2 linked regions of the Elephas maximus indicus genome follow. The protein of the gene in region 1 purifies or fractionates together with the protein of each later gene. This does not show direct contact. Links are inferred from orthologs where the notes say so. Each region holds a gene or a part of one and is shown on either strand. Other genes may lie near its edges.

Evidence for each region.
Region 2: the proteins of DIMT1 (region 1) and HNRNPU purify together in Homo sapiens (affinity purification with mass spectrometry; 3 studies listed by BioGRID and IntAct, with this or other methods). This does not show direct contact. The link is inferred for Elephas maximus indicus from reciprocal best matches to the Homo sapiens genes DIMT1 and HNRNPU.

What each region holds. Positions count from the first base shown.
Region 1 is NC_064820.1:66,944,618-66,952,071, forward strand, and holds the start of DIMT1 (probable dimethyladenosine transferase), read right to left. Parts: upstream 3,020-7,454; 5' UTR 2,853-3,019; coding exon 2,774-2,852; intron 2,762-2,773; exon of another isoform or gene 2,591-2,761; coding exon of another isoform or gene 2,477-2,590; intron 2,426-2,476; coding exon 2,352-2,425; intron 543-2,351; coding exon 456-542; intron 1-455. UniProt on the Homo sapiens protein: Specifically dimethylates two adjacent adenosines in the loop of a conserved hairpin near the 3'-end of 18S rRNA in the 40S particle.
Region 2 is NC_064842.1:19,264,601-19,271,799, reverse strand, and holds the start of HNRNPU (heterogeneous nuclear ribonucleoprotein U), read right to left. Parts: upstream 3,007-7,199; 5' UTR 2,765-3,006; coding exon 2,077-2,764; intron 1,221-2,076; coding exon 1,109-1,220; intron 1,023-1,108; coding exon 949-1,022; intron 1-948. UniProt on the Homo sapiens protein: DNA- and RNA-binding protein involved in several cellular processes such as nuclear chromatin organization, telomere-length regulation, transcription, mRNA alternative splicing and stability, Xist-mediated transcriptional silencing and mitotic cell progression.

The DNA of each region.
Region 1 (7,454 bases):
TTCTCCCAGGCCTAGAGGTGTTAACTGCTCTTTGCAATTATTATTCAAGGTTCCCATTTTGTTTTTTCAGTATTCTAACAACCATATAATCAGTTCTCTATTTTAAATGCCCTGGGTTGAAATACCTAATATAGTTTCTCATTTCCTCACTTGTATATCCCATTTTTTCTACAATAAAGTTCCTAGCAAGGAATCAAGGATTACTATTAAGATAAAAACAAAAAACCAAATCCAATGCCATCGAGTCGATTCCAACTCATAGCGACCCCATAGTGTTTCCAAGGAGCACCTGGTGGATTCGAACTGCCATCCTTTTGGTTAGCAGCTGTAGCACTTAACCACTACACCACCAGGGTTTCCACTATTAAGATAATAACAATTAATTAAAACACCTGTGTTAGCCAGCTGAGCTTGCTAGTCATTTCTGACACCAAAATGTTCAATTTCCATTTTACCTTTTTTGCCTTTTCTAACAACTTTACAGTCATGTTGCCAGTCCCAGGTCCAACTTCCAGGACCACATCAGTTGGTCTTAAGGCAGCCTAAAAGCAAGCATAACATTAGCTCTTCCGGCACATCTGAACACACAGTTTAATTTACACCTGAACATCTTTGCTCAACTGGACCAATAAGCAACATCATGATAAAAAGAGAAAATACTGAAGTTGTCAAGGATTTAATTTTATTGGGATCCATAATCAACACCCATGGAAGCAGTAGTCAAAAAATCAAAAGACACACTGCATTGGGCAAATCTGCTGCAAAAGACCTCTTTAAAGTGTTAAAAAGCAAACACATCACTTCGAGGACTAAGGTGAGCCTGACCCAAGCCATGGTGTTTTCAATCGCCTTATATGCATGTGAAAGCTGGACAATGAATAAGGAAGACTGAAGAAGAATTAATGCCTTTGAATTATGGCGGTGGCAAAGAATATCGAATATACCATGGACTACCAGAAGAATGAACAAATCTGTCTTGGAAGAAGTACAGCCAGAATGCTCCTTAGAAGCAAGGATGGCGAGACTTTTGTCTCACGTACTTTGGACATGTTATCAGGAGAGACAGGTCCCTGGAGAAGGACCTCATGCTTGATAAGGCAGAGGGTCAGTGAAAAAGAGGGAGACCCTTGACAAGATAGACTGACACAGTGGCTGTAACAATGGGCTGAAATGTAGCAATGACTATGAGGATGGTGCAGGACTGGGCAGTGTTTCGTTCTGTTGTACACTGGGTCGCTATGACTCAACTGACTGGACAGCACCTAACAACAACATATTTGTTTATAAGCTCTCAGGAAATCTTTGTCTACATTTTTAGGAGCTTTCTTCATGATTTTTGTGCTTCACAAAATTAGCTCATAAACATTCGGTGTAAGTGGAAATCTAACACCTCTCTTCAACTTTAGAAGTCAGAACAGCAGTTCTTTCTGGGATTGTCATTCCACTTTCTACTTTGGAAGTGACTCCTATAGCACTTTCTCACTGACTTTGTTCATATTACACAACTTCGAATGGGAAAGGATTGTATATGATTACCTTGCCTGAGAATCACAGTGTTGGACCAGGAATTCTCAACCCATGTATGGATTTCAGGGGATGCAGGAATACCCAGAAATTGTACTTAAAACTGGTATATGTACACTGCTGCAATATTCTGGGTCCAGAGCTTTCATCAGGAAATGCTCAAGAATCCATGAGTAAAACAGGTTAAAAAGCAAGGCTAACGCTCATTTTGCAAATGATACTAGATCAGAATGAGATCACAGCTAACGCTCATTTTGCAAATGATACTAGATCAGAATGAGATCACAGAACTATGTAATGCTCTTTCTATAGCTTCAAGATGCTTCCCAGTTAATGTAAACTTTGCAACCACAAAAGTAATTTGCACCACTTATATCTCACATCCTAGCTCCCAGTCATCCATAACAAAAAGAAGTCACCAATGACCCATACAGAAGGCATATTTCAAATAATTTATATATGACGTTGGATTGTACCACATAAGCTTTTCTGGGGAACAGTCTTCCTAATGAGCAAACAGAAACCGACAGTGACATCTGGTGACTAGGACAAAAAGAATAAAAAAAAATAGCAACCTGTAATTCAACAAGTACAAAGGTCCTGGTAATGAAGTGGATAATCTACAGAAAGAAAAGAACTTGGGGACAGAAGAAACCCACACCTACAGATTGAAGCACATCATGCAGAAGACAGCATGTGAATCCTACATAAGTCTTCACCGATTCAACAAATATTTACAGAGCATTTACAGCAGGCATGCTCTCTGCGCTTAAGTATTCCTCAAAGCAAAATTACTAACTCAACTCTCTTTCCTCTTTCACACCCACCTTATCGATAATGCTGTTAACAATGAGGGGATTTTTCAAAATGTGTTGCCCAATCCCAGTGTTGAACATGAGTCCTGGAACAACAACAACAACAAAAAAACACAAAATAGCTTTAATTTCCCAACCTGATTAGACATTAGACCGTCCTGGAGAAGAAAGCAGAAAGCAGAATGGGATGGGGGAAGACTTCTGCAACAACCAGAGACACCAAACGTCGATCTTGGAGCTGGGACTGACATAGTGCTTTAAGCCCATCCCTTCAGCGGACAAGGCCGAAGGCGGCGTGGGGGCCTGCGAGCCGGCCGCGTTCCGGGAGCCCCAGACTTCCGCGCTCACGGGAGCGGCCCCGGCTCGGGTTAACGTGTGATCAGCCCCGCTGGAACGCCCGGCCCACGCCCAGACCCCCTCCCGGCTGCCCGGACCTCCGGTGCTCTTCAGCTCCTGGCGCTGTTCCTGCCGCTTCCGGCGCCGGACGCTCGCCCCCGACTTGACTTTCGGCATCTCTGCGGGGTGCGGGCTCCGAGGCCCGAGAAGGTCAGGAGGACCAAAGCCGGCAGCCCGAGCCACGGCACCACATGGTACTCGCCACGCCCCGCCACACGCGCCACTCCTGGCCACGAGGGGGAAGGGCGAGCACCCCGCGAGGTGAGCCCCGGGCTCCGCCCCCAGGCAAGAGGGCGGACCTTGGAGCCCAATGGCTGCCGGGAATTGTAGTCACGAGCCGGAGGAAAGTCTACCCTCACCGATTCCGGCAGTTTGGATTGGCTGTCTAGTTTAGAGTCAGGGGCGGCGTTTCTCGTCCCTAACCCCACAGGAGTCACTTAAGCACCGCAGATGGCGGTGTAAGTTCCACGTTGTGGAGATTTAAATTATATGCGATTAGGCCCGCGATTGCTTTATCAGGCCAGGTTCCGGGATCGCGGGAATTTAAAACAGGTATTTTCCCTCTGGTTTCCCCGCAGGTCCCCAAAAAACACGGTGGGGTGGAAAACCCAGGATCCTTTGGAGCGGTGAATTTCTACACTGCTAGCGTTTTGGAAAGGACCTCTGAGAATGGAATTAGCTTTTTGTTTCACTAGGGCTACTGGTTGCTTTACTTCCTTTATTGTCACGTCATTCATTTCCTACACATTTACTGAGCTCCGGGTGTGTATCAGACACTGCTGGATGCTGGGGATTCAAAGTTAAACAAGAAAATGCCTTCCTCAAAGTTCCGTTGAGAGAGAGAGGCCAAAAAAAGTGCAAAATGCTGTAAATGTACTAATAGATATTAGGTATGCGTTGGGTATTGCTGTAGGACATTGTACTCGACTGTAAGCTCCAGGAACATGAAGTCCACATCTGTTTTGACTGTCAGTGTAATGACTTTTAGTTTCTAATTTTTCTAGTGTACCCTATTGCCTTTAAGAAACAGTTTCTTCCTATCATTACTATGACTCTTCCCTGTGCTATTAATTGCCTGAAGTTCAAAGCCTTGGTTTTACTCTGTCATTTCTTTGTGGTAATTCTAAATCAGGAAAAAACTCATAACCTAGTAGCATCTTCAACTACCTATTTCATTCCATTAATCATGTATTTATTCCACAACTTCTGGAGAGTCAACAGTGTGCCAAGCAGTGAGTCAAATACTGGAAATAAAAAGATGAACATAAAATGATCTCTGCTGGCCCTAACCGGTTTTAACAGGTTTTCAACACCATCTTGGCACTTTAAGTGATTAGGCCATTAGGATGTGGAAACAGGGGTATCATTGTTGATGTCAGATGGATCCTGGCTGAAAGCAGAAAATACCAGAAAGATGTTTACCTGTGTTTTATTGACTATGCAAAGGCATTGGACTTCGTGGATTATAATAAGCTATGGATAATATTGCAAAGAAAGGGAATTCCAGAACACTTAATTGTGCTCATGAAGAACCTGTACATAGATCAAGAGGCAGTTGTTCAAACAGAACAAGGGGATGCTGTGTGGTTTAAAGTCAGGAAAGGTGTCAGGGTTGTATCCTTTCACCATACCTATTCAATCTGTATGCTGAGCAAATAAACTGAGAAGCTGGACTATATGAAGAAGAATGGGGCATCAGGATTGGAGGAAGACTCGTTGACAACCTGCGTTATGCAGATGACACCACCTTGCTTACAGAAAGTTAAGAGGACTTGGGGCACTTACCGATGAAGATTGAAGACCACAGCCTTCAGTATGGATTACACCGCAACATAAAGAAAACAAAAATTCTCAGAAACTGGACCAATAAGCAACATCGTGATCAACATAGAAAAGATTGAAGTTGTCAAGGATTTCATTTTATTTGGATGCACAATCAACGCCCAAGGAAGCAGCAGTCAGGAAATCAAAAGACGCATTGCATTGGGCAAATCTGCTGCAAAAGACCTCTTTAAAATGTTGAAAAGCAAAGATGTCACATTGAGGACTAAGGTGCGCCTGACCCAAGCCATGGTGTTTTCAATTGCCTCCTATGCATTCGAAAGCTGGACGATGAATAATGAGGACTGAAGAAGAATTGATGCCTCTGAATTGTGGCATTGGTGAAGAATATTGAATATACCATGGACTGCCAGATGAAGGAATAAATATGTCTTGGAAGAAGTATAGCCAGAATGCTTCTTAGAAGCATGGATGGCAAGACTACGTCTCACATATTTTGGACATGTTGTCAGGAAGGATCAGTCCCTAGAGAAGAACATCATGCTTGGTAAAGTAGAGGGCCAGCAAAAATAGGAAGACCCTCAACAAGATGGATTGATACAGTGGCTGCAACAATGGGCTCAAGCATAACAGTGATTGTGAGAATGGCGCAGGACCAGGCAGTGTTTCTTTCTGTTGTACATAGGGTCACTATGAGTTGGAAACAACTCGATGGCACCTAATGACAACAAAACAGTAGCTCATTAAGTGCAAAATACATATAAGCACCCTGCCTCTGTGTAGAGACTTAACACGCTAACGAAGGAAAATTGACCTCTTCCTCCATCCCAGGGAATCAAATCCTTGTCTAAAGAAAAATGCATAGTCATCCCCAGGCTCTGGCCACCTTCTCAAAGATCGATTCTGAATATTTATTATAAATTTACATTTCCTTGTCTGCTCTCTGTAAAAGCCCCCCGCCTCAAGCTAACTACGAGTATTCTTGGAAGTGGCAGCACTGACTGTTCCTTTCCTTGCGCCACAAAATAAACGTACCTTTCTAATCTCCCACCTTGGCCTCTTGTTTATTTGCTGTAACAAATCACACCAAGCAAAACCTGGGGTTGCACCCAGCAACATCAATATAGGGAAATTGGTGTAGTGACTGAGATATCTTATTATTGTTATTTTTTCTGTTAGTATCAAAGCAGCATTCCAGAAGTGAAACAATATTGGGTGCAGCATAGCTCCACAAGTCCAAGGGAATTGTGTGCTATTGGGATATGAGCTGCATTAAAGAAATGAGCTTTGGAAATTTATACTGGAATATATTTGAGTTGTTTTTGAAATTGTAATTATGAAAAATAATTTTTGGCTTTATGATTCATGTTTGTGTTCTTTTTAGTTAAAAATATTTATTTTTCACTTTGGGTATGCACAATCAATTCATTGCCATTCTTATAGATTTTTTTTTGGTAAAATATATTGTAAATTGAAAAAGAATTATAATAGCATTTGCTTTAGTAGAACGGGGTTACTTAAGCTCACAGCATGCTTGAAATGATAACATTTTAAATGTGCCAAGGAGCGTAACGTTGTTGTTGTTAGGTGCTGTCAGTCGGTTCCGACTCATAACAACTCTGTGCACAACAGAATGAAACACTGCCTGGTCCTGAGCCATCCTTTCTAGTTTCACATTGACTTACTGAACAGATTGAGGTAACGTTTGTTGTAAGGTGTATGTAACCTTAATCTTAACTGAGTGGTCTAAAGTGTTTAGATATTAAGCAGATTCCTTAGTAAGCCAAATTTTTGTCACTGAGGTGTTTGAGATATAACTTGATATTTAAAAGAAAAATCTTTGTTAAAATAACTTGAGTTTCACCTAGGATCTTGTTTTTAAGCCTTCATCCCCTATAGTTACCAACTCTGCATGTAGTAGGCCTCTAGAAATTAGTATGCTGCACTGACCCAACTTGATGGGACCTAAGTATCCACAGGGCTTGTTTCCAAAGGAAAATGTATCGGTTTGAGTTGCAAAATTTTGCTACTATATAGGTCATTGTAAAGGCAGTGTGAAAAGTAACCGGACCCAGAGTGTGATTGGAAGTGTAGTTCCCGCTGCGTCAAATGTTGTAATAAATACATTGAAGTTTAAAAAAGGGGCGTAATAGAGAATAAAAATAAAATTTTGTGAGCATCTTATATAAAATAGTTCCTTATAGATGTTTAATGTATTGAAAAGTCATAAAAACATTGAGAATGTTTAAATTTCACACTTTTAACACCAATTCATTAGCACTGAAATACCGTGTTCCTATGATTAAGGGGGTTTTATGATTAAGGGATATAATCCAGCTGGGCAAGATAAAATAAAATTGAAATCTAATATCAAGCCATTGGATTTGTTTAGAACAATTAAACATTATTGTTATTTAAATACTAAAATGATGTGCTGCTTTACAAAGCAGGACAATTTCAAAGAGTACCGGAAGACTTAATTTCTACTCTTCTGTCTAAATGTTAACAGAAAAATGTAATGAAATTTGGCTGGGAAAAATAATGCATTTTGAATATCATAAGCAACATTTTTCTATAAACATGTTCTAATTTTTTTTCAGGTCATCATAAATACTATCTTAAATTGGTGCAATTAATTAAGAAGAGTATAGCCTCTGTTTAATACCAGCATGAGTCTAAGCATTGTCAGTGAATATTAATGATAACTCAATATTCCAAAAGCACCTGTTAGATGCATGTTTTCATATCATTACCGTAAAATAATATATATGTTTCAAAATGTTTTTCAAACTTTACAAACCTAGCAAAACAAAAAATGTATTATGGTACTGAGAACTCTAAAATAGATTCTAGTTTTATATTGTGTTTTTCAGTTTTCAAAGCGCTTTCAAAAAAATTTGATTTTCAGTGAAACTCTGTGAAGTTGGTAGGGCAAGT
Region 2 (7,199 bases), on another chromosome or scaffold:
TTTTTTAAAAATCTCAATGAGTATCTCAGCTACTTATAAATAGTGTTTAAAAAGAAATCAAGAATTTTACATTTACTCTTGCAAATCTGAATAAATCTACAGGGCATATCTTCAATCTACAGGGCAGGTCACCATCTTACCTGCTTGTACTTCAAGCCATTATTTCCACCCCTTATTCTACTTCTCTGAAAAAGCTTTGTGTTCTATCGAATACTAAACTAACAATTTTTACAATGAAAAAGATAACAAGGCTGACAGCCAAGGCCCATTTAGAGGTTTGCAATACTTCCTTATACTCAATTGCAACCCAACTGGCAAAAGTAGCAGTATTTACAGTGCTGCCATTGATACCATTCGCTGCTGAAGAAACTAGTGGCCCAGTGGTAGCCCACTGCTGCTGCCCAGGTCTTTGGAGGAAATCAACTTATGTTAAAGCAGCAGTTACTGAACTGGAATTGAGAACAAAAGAGCAGTTATTGAAAAAGTATTATTACAATCTTTTGTCAGAATAGGGAATATACTTGTGTGCTAACGGAAAAACCCATTACTAAGTATTCAACTAGCCCAAATAGCTCACTTTACATAATGCTACAAAAAATGTAATTACTTTACCATAGAACCCTATTAGGACAATTCATGGGTAGTCTTACAAGTTTGAATTAACTAATTAGTCAAAAATTGGCATTAATTTTATATTCCTGGTAAAAACTTCCAACTTATATAAAAATTACTAAATCACTAAAACCTGTGAAATTATCAATACAACTGATGCTGTACTAAATGTTTAGCTGCCAGAATCTGAATACAGACCACATCTTACTTATATTTAACAAATTACTTAACCTTACTAAATTTTCTATATTCAACATACAGCACTGTTTTCTAACGTACTGGAACCAAAAATCACCGCATGAGAAAGTGGGCGGGAGGAAAAATAGCTTCACTTACAAGTATCAAGGCAAACCACTGTGTCATCAAAGTGTTCATCTTCTTCTTCAACAGGTGGCTGAGGAGATTTAGCCCTGAAAGAGAAATTGTCTCCTGATACAGCTTTTTCCATCAACGAATGATGAACAGGTGACAATTAAACTCGGTTAGCATCCTCTACCTGCTGTATTTGTTCTCTTCAATGTACTCAAAATATCCACGACCGTGATCTTCCCGAGGTCTTTTAACACCTCTCTTTTTATCTCCGCTTTTCTGTTCTGTTTTGCCGTCTCCTATAATACACGACACCTTATAAGAGGCCAAGGCGCAAAACAAAAAAACCTTTTCTATTTTGAAACGCCAAAAGGCTCGACTCTCCTGTTCTTTTTTAAAAAAAAAAACTTTAAATCGACAAACCAATTGTGAATTTCCAACAACAATCAGTGCAACAGGATTTGAGCTAGTGACGCAGTCTAGACAGCGCTCGTTTTGCCAGTCTACTCCGCGATTTTAGAGACAGCGCAGGGAAAACCTGCGCGGCGCAAGCCGAGAGCCCACGTGTACCCCGAAGAGAGTTCAGGAAGGGGGGAAGGGCCGGGCCTCCGCTCCCGCGGCCTCCCCTCCCCCACCCGGGCCCGCGCTCCTCGGCCGCTTTGTACTGATCTTCCGCCCGGCTCCGCCCGCCGGAAGTGACGTCACGCCAGGCCCCTGCGCTCCTTGCACAATACAGCGGCGAAGAGCCGCCAAAGCGCGCCCGCCCCAGGACCGCGGGCCTCTCCCCTCCCCCCGAGACATGTGCCCGCACCGCGCGCACGCACCGCGGCGGCGCCACCGAGGGCCGACGGGGCTCCCTGCCGCCGCCCGCCCGCTCCTCTCGCCCCCCCACCGGCGGCAGCTGCAGCTCCCGGCTCTCGAGCCACATAATGGAGGCGCTGTCGCCACCGTCACACACACCAAGGCCGAGGCCTCACGGCTAATCCGGGATTCCCCGCACCCCCCCCACCAAGCCAGCCACCAGCAGGCTCCGCGCCTCCCTGGCCCGACGCCCCCGCAGGGCTCCCTCCCCCTGGCGGGGCTCCGGCAGGCCTGGGGCACGGTCCCCACCCGCGCGGGCCTCCCGCCGCGCGCAACGTACAACGCAGCACTCACCCGCCGCCGGAGCCCCGGGGCGACCGCCGCCTCCGCCGCCTTCCGCCTTCTTCTTACCTCCCGCCTGCTGCTGGCCCTGCCTCGACCCGGGCGGCGCCACCGTCACCGCGAACAGCGAGGTGGGGCCGCTGCTCTTCCCCGCGGCCTCCTTGGCGGCCCCGCGCTGCTGCTGGGGCTGTTGCTGCGGCGTCGCCGGCGGTTGCGGCTGCTGCTCCCCGTGCCCGTTTTCGTCGCCCGCGGCTTCCTCCTCGTCTCCGAGCTCATCTTCCCCTTCCTGGAAACCCTGATCGTCGCCGTTCTCGTCTTCCGAGCCGGCCTCCTCCTCCATAGGGCCCGAGTCGGCCGCCCCCGCGGCCCCGTTCTCCTCCCCGAGCTCCATCTGGTCGCCATCCAGGGCGGCGATCCCTTCCTCCTCATCTTCCTCCTCCTCCTCCTCCTCGTCGCCGGCGGTCGCGGCCTCTTGCTCGAGGCCTGCTCCGGAGCGCCCGGCGGAATCCCCGCCCAGATCTAGGCTGCCGTTCCCGGGCTCCATGGCGGGGCGGCCCCCGGCCTCCTCGTCGTCCAGCGCGGCCTGGAGTCGCTCCATGAGTTCGGCCTTGAGGCCCTTGTCGGAAAGGCGCCGCTTCTTGAGCTCCTCTTTCAACTCCGACACCTTCAGCTTTTTTACATTAACAGGCGAGGAACTCATCGTGAGGACCCCGATTCACCGCTAGGTGCTGGCTCAAACTCGGCTCCGCGCACACGGCCACTAGTGGCGGCTGCTGCTGCTGCTCTTCGGCCCGGGCGGCGGCTGCGGCTGCGGCTGGAGGTGGGTTCGTGCTGCAGAGCGGACCCGCCTGGTGTCGAACGGCGCCAATTCCTTTCACCCAGTTCGCGAGGGAGACGCGGAGACTCGCCTGGCGCGAGCGAGCACGCAACGTCCTCTCGCAGGGGCGGCGCCGCGCACGTAATATAGCCGCCCCGCCCCCCCGCTTACGGTAGCGCTGCGCAGTAGGAAAGCCGGAGCGCGCCCGCGCCTTGGCCCCGCCCCATTACCGTACTTACCTCCCCGCCCCCACGCCGAATCCCGGGCCGAGAGCGCGGCGCAGGCCGCGCATTGCGCTTCCAATTGGGACTGAGCAAATGGAGGAAAAGGAAACCGCCTTTCAGTTAAACCGACCTGCTGCAAAACCTATTGGCCTTTCTAATTTTTTAGTGCCGATTTCCGTTTTGCTTTTTGCTTTTCCAGGCCGGAGGCTGCTTGTATCCAAATGTTTTCAGTCCTCAACTTGGCATTTTCAATTCAAATCCCCAACCTTTTTATCCTTCCATCTTAGATTTGCTTTCTTATATATTTCAACCGCTATTTGTTTAAAACTCCAAGTTTTATTTCGGTTTTGATTTGTACAACACAAATGAGCAATTGCTATATGCAGAGTCCCGCCCCCCCACGTCTAATTTTTTGCCTTGCGAATTGAATTTTAAATTCTGAAGGGCGAGGGCAGAGCCTTTCTTTTGTCTTGGTGCAGGCTTGGGAGATAGAAACTTGCTTTAAGAGCGCGGTCTTCTGTAATGTATGGCACACTTCACAGGCCTTTGCATGGGAGCTGTTCTCTTGGTTTTAATAGACACAGAATTTAACAAGTCCGAGAACTGCGTTTCTGAGTTTACCCACCAAAAAGACGGATATTCAACAATACGCTGACCAATTTAGGACCTGGTCATCAGTTATGAAATCCCAGTAGCCAACAATGAGGATGAAACCCAACCAGGTCGTGCACTTTTATTCCTACTGGACTAAAACTGGTCAATCGAATCATGCTGAAACTATAAAAGCTTATGAAAAATAAAGGGCTAAGATTTTGTTTAAAAAATAGACTTTCACTCTCGAAATCTGTTATTCTGTTGTATTTTAGAAATTTAATTTTTCTTTTTATTAAATTAAAGGTGTCACATGTCTTTGAAGTCTTGATAGGGGTACCAGAATTGAGATTTGTGATAGAGATGAACTTCAGAAACCGCAGAAAATCTGCGCAGTGACCAGCCAGTCTTCCATTATCTGACTAAGGAGATCAGTTATGCCAACTGTTAGGTGCTTTAGCTGGCATAAAAATGCGCCAATGTTAATTTGAAATTTGGAAGTATAGAAATGTGTACTTAACTTTCTCCCATAGGCTAGTGTGATTTCACTGATTAATAAATTTTCTTTTAAAAGTTTGTATTTTGGAGCTGTTAAGAAGTATGTACCTCACCATGCATGCACGGCTAAAGATAAAATATTAACATTTGTGAAATGATTTGAGTTGAAATTAATAAACAATGTACAGTACTGGTTATTCTCGTTTCAGGTTAACTGAGGTGGTGGGCATAGCCCCCAAAATAGACTTCCAAATAGTGCCAAAAACTCATTTTAGCCTTTGGTTATAATGTCCTTGAAGCTTATAAAAAAGGTACAAAATAGAATTTGAACTCTTTGTCCTTGTTCAAAAATAGGAAGAGAGCTACAGGAGGCTCACACATTCACACACTAATTAGCCCCTAATGAGTCAGGTAAATACAATTATTCTGGTGGTCTTTAAATTTTTTTTTTTTTTTTTTTAGATATTACTTGCATTTTTAGACATTAGTGATATGAAAACAATTTCCATTTAACTGGAAAAAACTAAATTACAAAAATAAAGTTCATATATCTAAATATAAGATTTATAATAGCCATTCTTGGTAGTAAATCAGTTGTAATAATAAACTATGAACTATACCTTTAAGTGCACACTAAAAGGTCCCCTGGCTTTATCTCCAAGAGGTTTGTAGACTTTTAGAGCTGGATGGAGCCTGGAGATCATCTTTACTCTGCTTATTCTACACACAAGGAAACTGCGGTCCCTGCTCCCACACCAATGCTGTTTCATATCATCGCACAGCCTTAGACAACACTTGAAAGGGTAATAGTTTTTCTAAATGCTCAAAAAAACATCAGCTTACTCTTCCTTTTTTACAAAAGGAAGAAATCTGCCATGAGATGTTTTTATTTTTCCACTGAAAGTACAAATAGTGACTTATTTTACTAATTGTTTTTGCTTCTTATGCTTTTAATACTATCATGATAGACCTGTTCTACAGAGACTAACAAAAGTTCAGGGTTGTTGTTGTTATTCTTCTTAGGTGCCATCGAGTCAGCTCCAACTCATAGCGACCCTCTGCACAACAGAATGAAAAACTGTCTAGTCCTGTGCCATCCTCACAATTGTTGCTATGCTTGAGCCCATTGTTGCAGCCACTGTGTTAATCCATCTCACGAAGGTCTTCCTCTTTTTTGTTGACCTTCTACCAAGCATGATGTCCTTCTCCAGGGACTGATCCTTCCTGATAACATGTCCAAAGTATGTGAGATGTAAGTCTTGCTGTCCTTCCTTCTAAGGAGCACTCTGGTTGTACTTCTTCCAAGACAAATTTGTTCCTTCTTTTGGCAGTTCAAGATATATTCAATATTCTTCATCAGCAACACAATTCAAAGGTGTCCATTCATCTTTGGTCTTCCTTAGCCATTGTCCAACTTTGCCATGCATATGAGGCGTTTGAAAACACCATGGCTTGGGTCAGGCGCACCTTAGTCCTCAAGGTGGCATTTTTGCTTTTTAATGCATTAAAGAGGTCTTTGCAGCAGATTTGCCCAATGCAATGCGTCTTTTGATTTCTTGACTGCTGCTTCCATGGGTGTTGATTGTGGATTCAAGTAAAATGAAATCCTTAACAACCTCAATCTTTTCTCCGTTTATCATGATGTTATTTATTGGTCCAATTGTGAAGACTTTTGTTTTCTTTATGTTGAGGTGCAATCCATACTGAAGGCTGTAGTCTTTGATCTTCATCAGTAAGTGCTTCAAGTCCTCTTCACTTTCAGCAGGCAAGGTTGTGTCACTTGGAGTCTTCCTCCAATCCTGATGCCCCATCCTTCTTCATATTGTTCAGCTTCTTGGATTATTTGCTCAGCACACAGATTGAATAGGTATGGTGAAAGGATACAGCCCTGATATATACCTTTCCTGACTTTAAACCACTCAGTATCCCCTTGTTCTGTTCAAAAGACTGCCTTTTGATCCATGTACAGATTCCTCATGAGCACAATTAAGTGTTCTGGAATTCCCAGTTCTCTGCAATGCTATTCAAAATTTGTTATGATCCACACAGGTGAATGCCTTAGCATAGTCAATAAAACACAGGTAAACATCTTTCTGGTATTCTGTGCTTTCAGCTAGGATCTATCTGACATCCACAATGATATCCCTGTTTCCGCGTCCTCTTCTAAATCTGGTTTGAATTTCTGGCAGTTCTTTGTAGATATGCAGCTGCAACCGCTTTTGAATGATCTTCAGAAAAATTTTGCTTGCATGTGATATTAATGATATTGTTTGATAATTTCCGCATTCGGTTGGATCACCTTTTTTTGGGAATAGGCATAAATATGGATCTCTTCCAGTTGATTGGCCAGGTACCTGTCTTCCAAATTCCTTGGCATAGAGGAGCAAGTGCTTCCAGCGCTGCATCCATTAGTTGAAACATCTCAGTTGGTATTCGGTCAGTTCCCAGAGGCTTGTTTTTCTCCAGTGCCTTCGGTGACATTTGGACTTCTTCCTTCAGTGATCGGTTCCTGATCATATGTTACCCCCTGAATTTCTGAGGGATCTATAAGGAACTTGAAATTCCCTCCTTTTGAAGTCCCAGAGCCTACCAAGAATACAGAGTGGAAGAGGGCACAAATTAACTCTCAGTAGCAAAAAGTGATTATCGAATTATCCATGGATAATAGGTCTATGAGAGGTCATTTCAAAGTTTGGGTGCTCGGAATATATAGCTTACATTTTGAGTTTGAATGAAAGAAAGAAATACAGGCTTTCTCCGCTATCCAAAAGGAGATTGTTCCTATGAAAATCTTTGGTAAGCCAAAACGGCATAAAACAAAGACACAATTACCATTAATTCATACAGGAAAAAATTTTGAGCATTCTCAGACCCAGTACATAACCTACCAAACCATACCAAGTAACCCATAAAACTTAAAACAACGCTGACATATAGTAAAAGCAGAAATGATAACATAAATACGCAGCCTGTATAAAATAAAAATAATGTATGTAGAGTGTAGT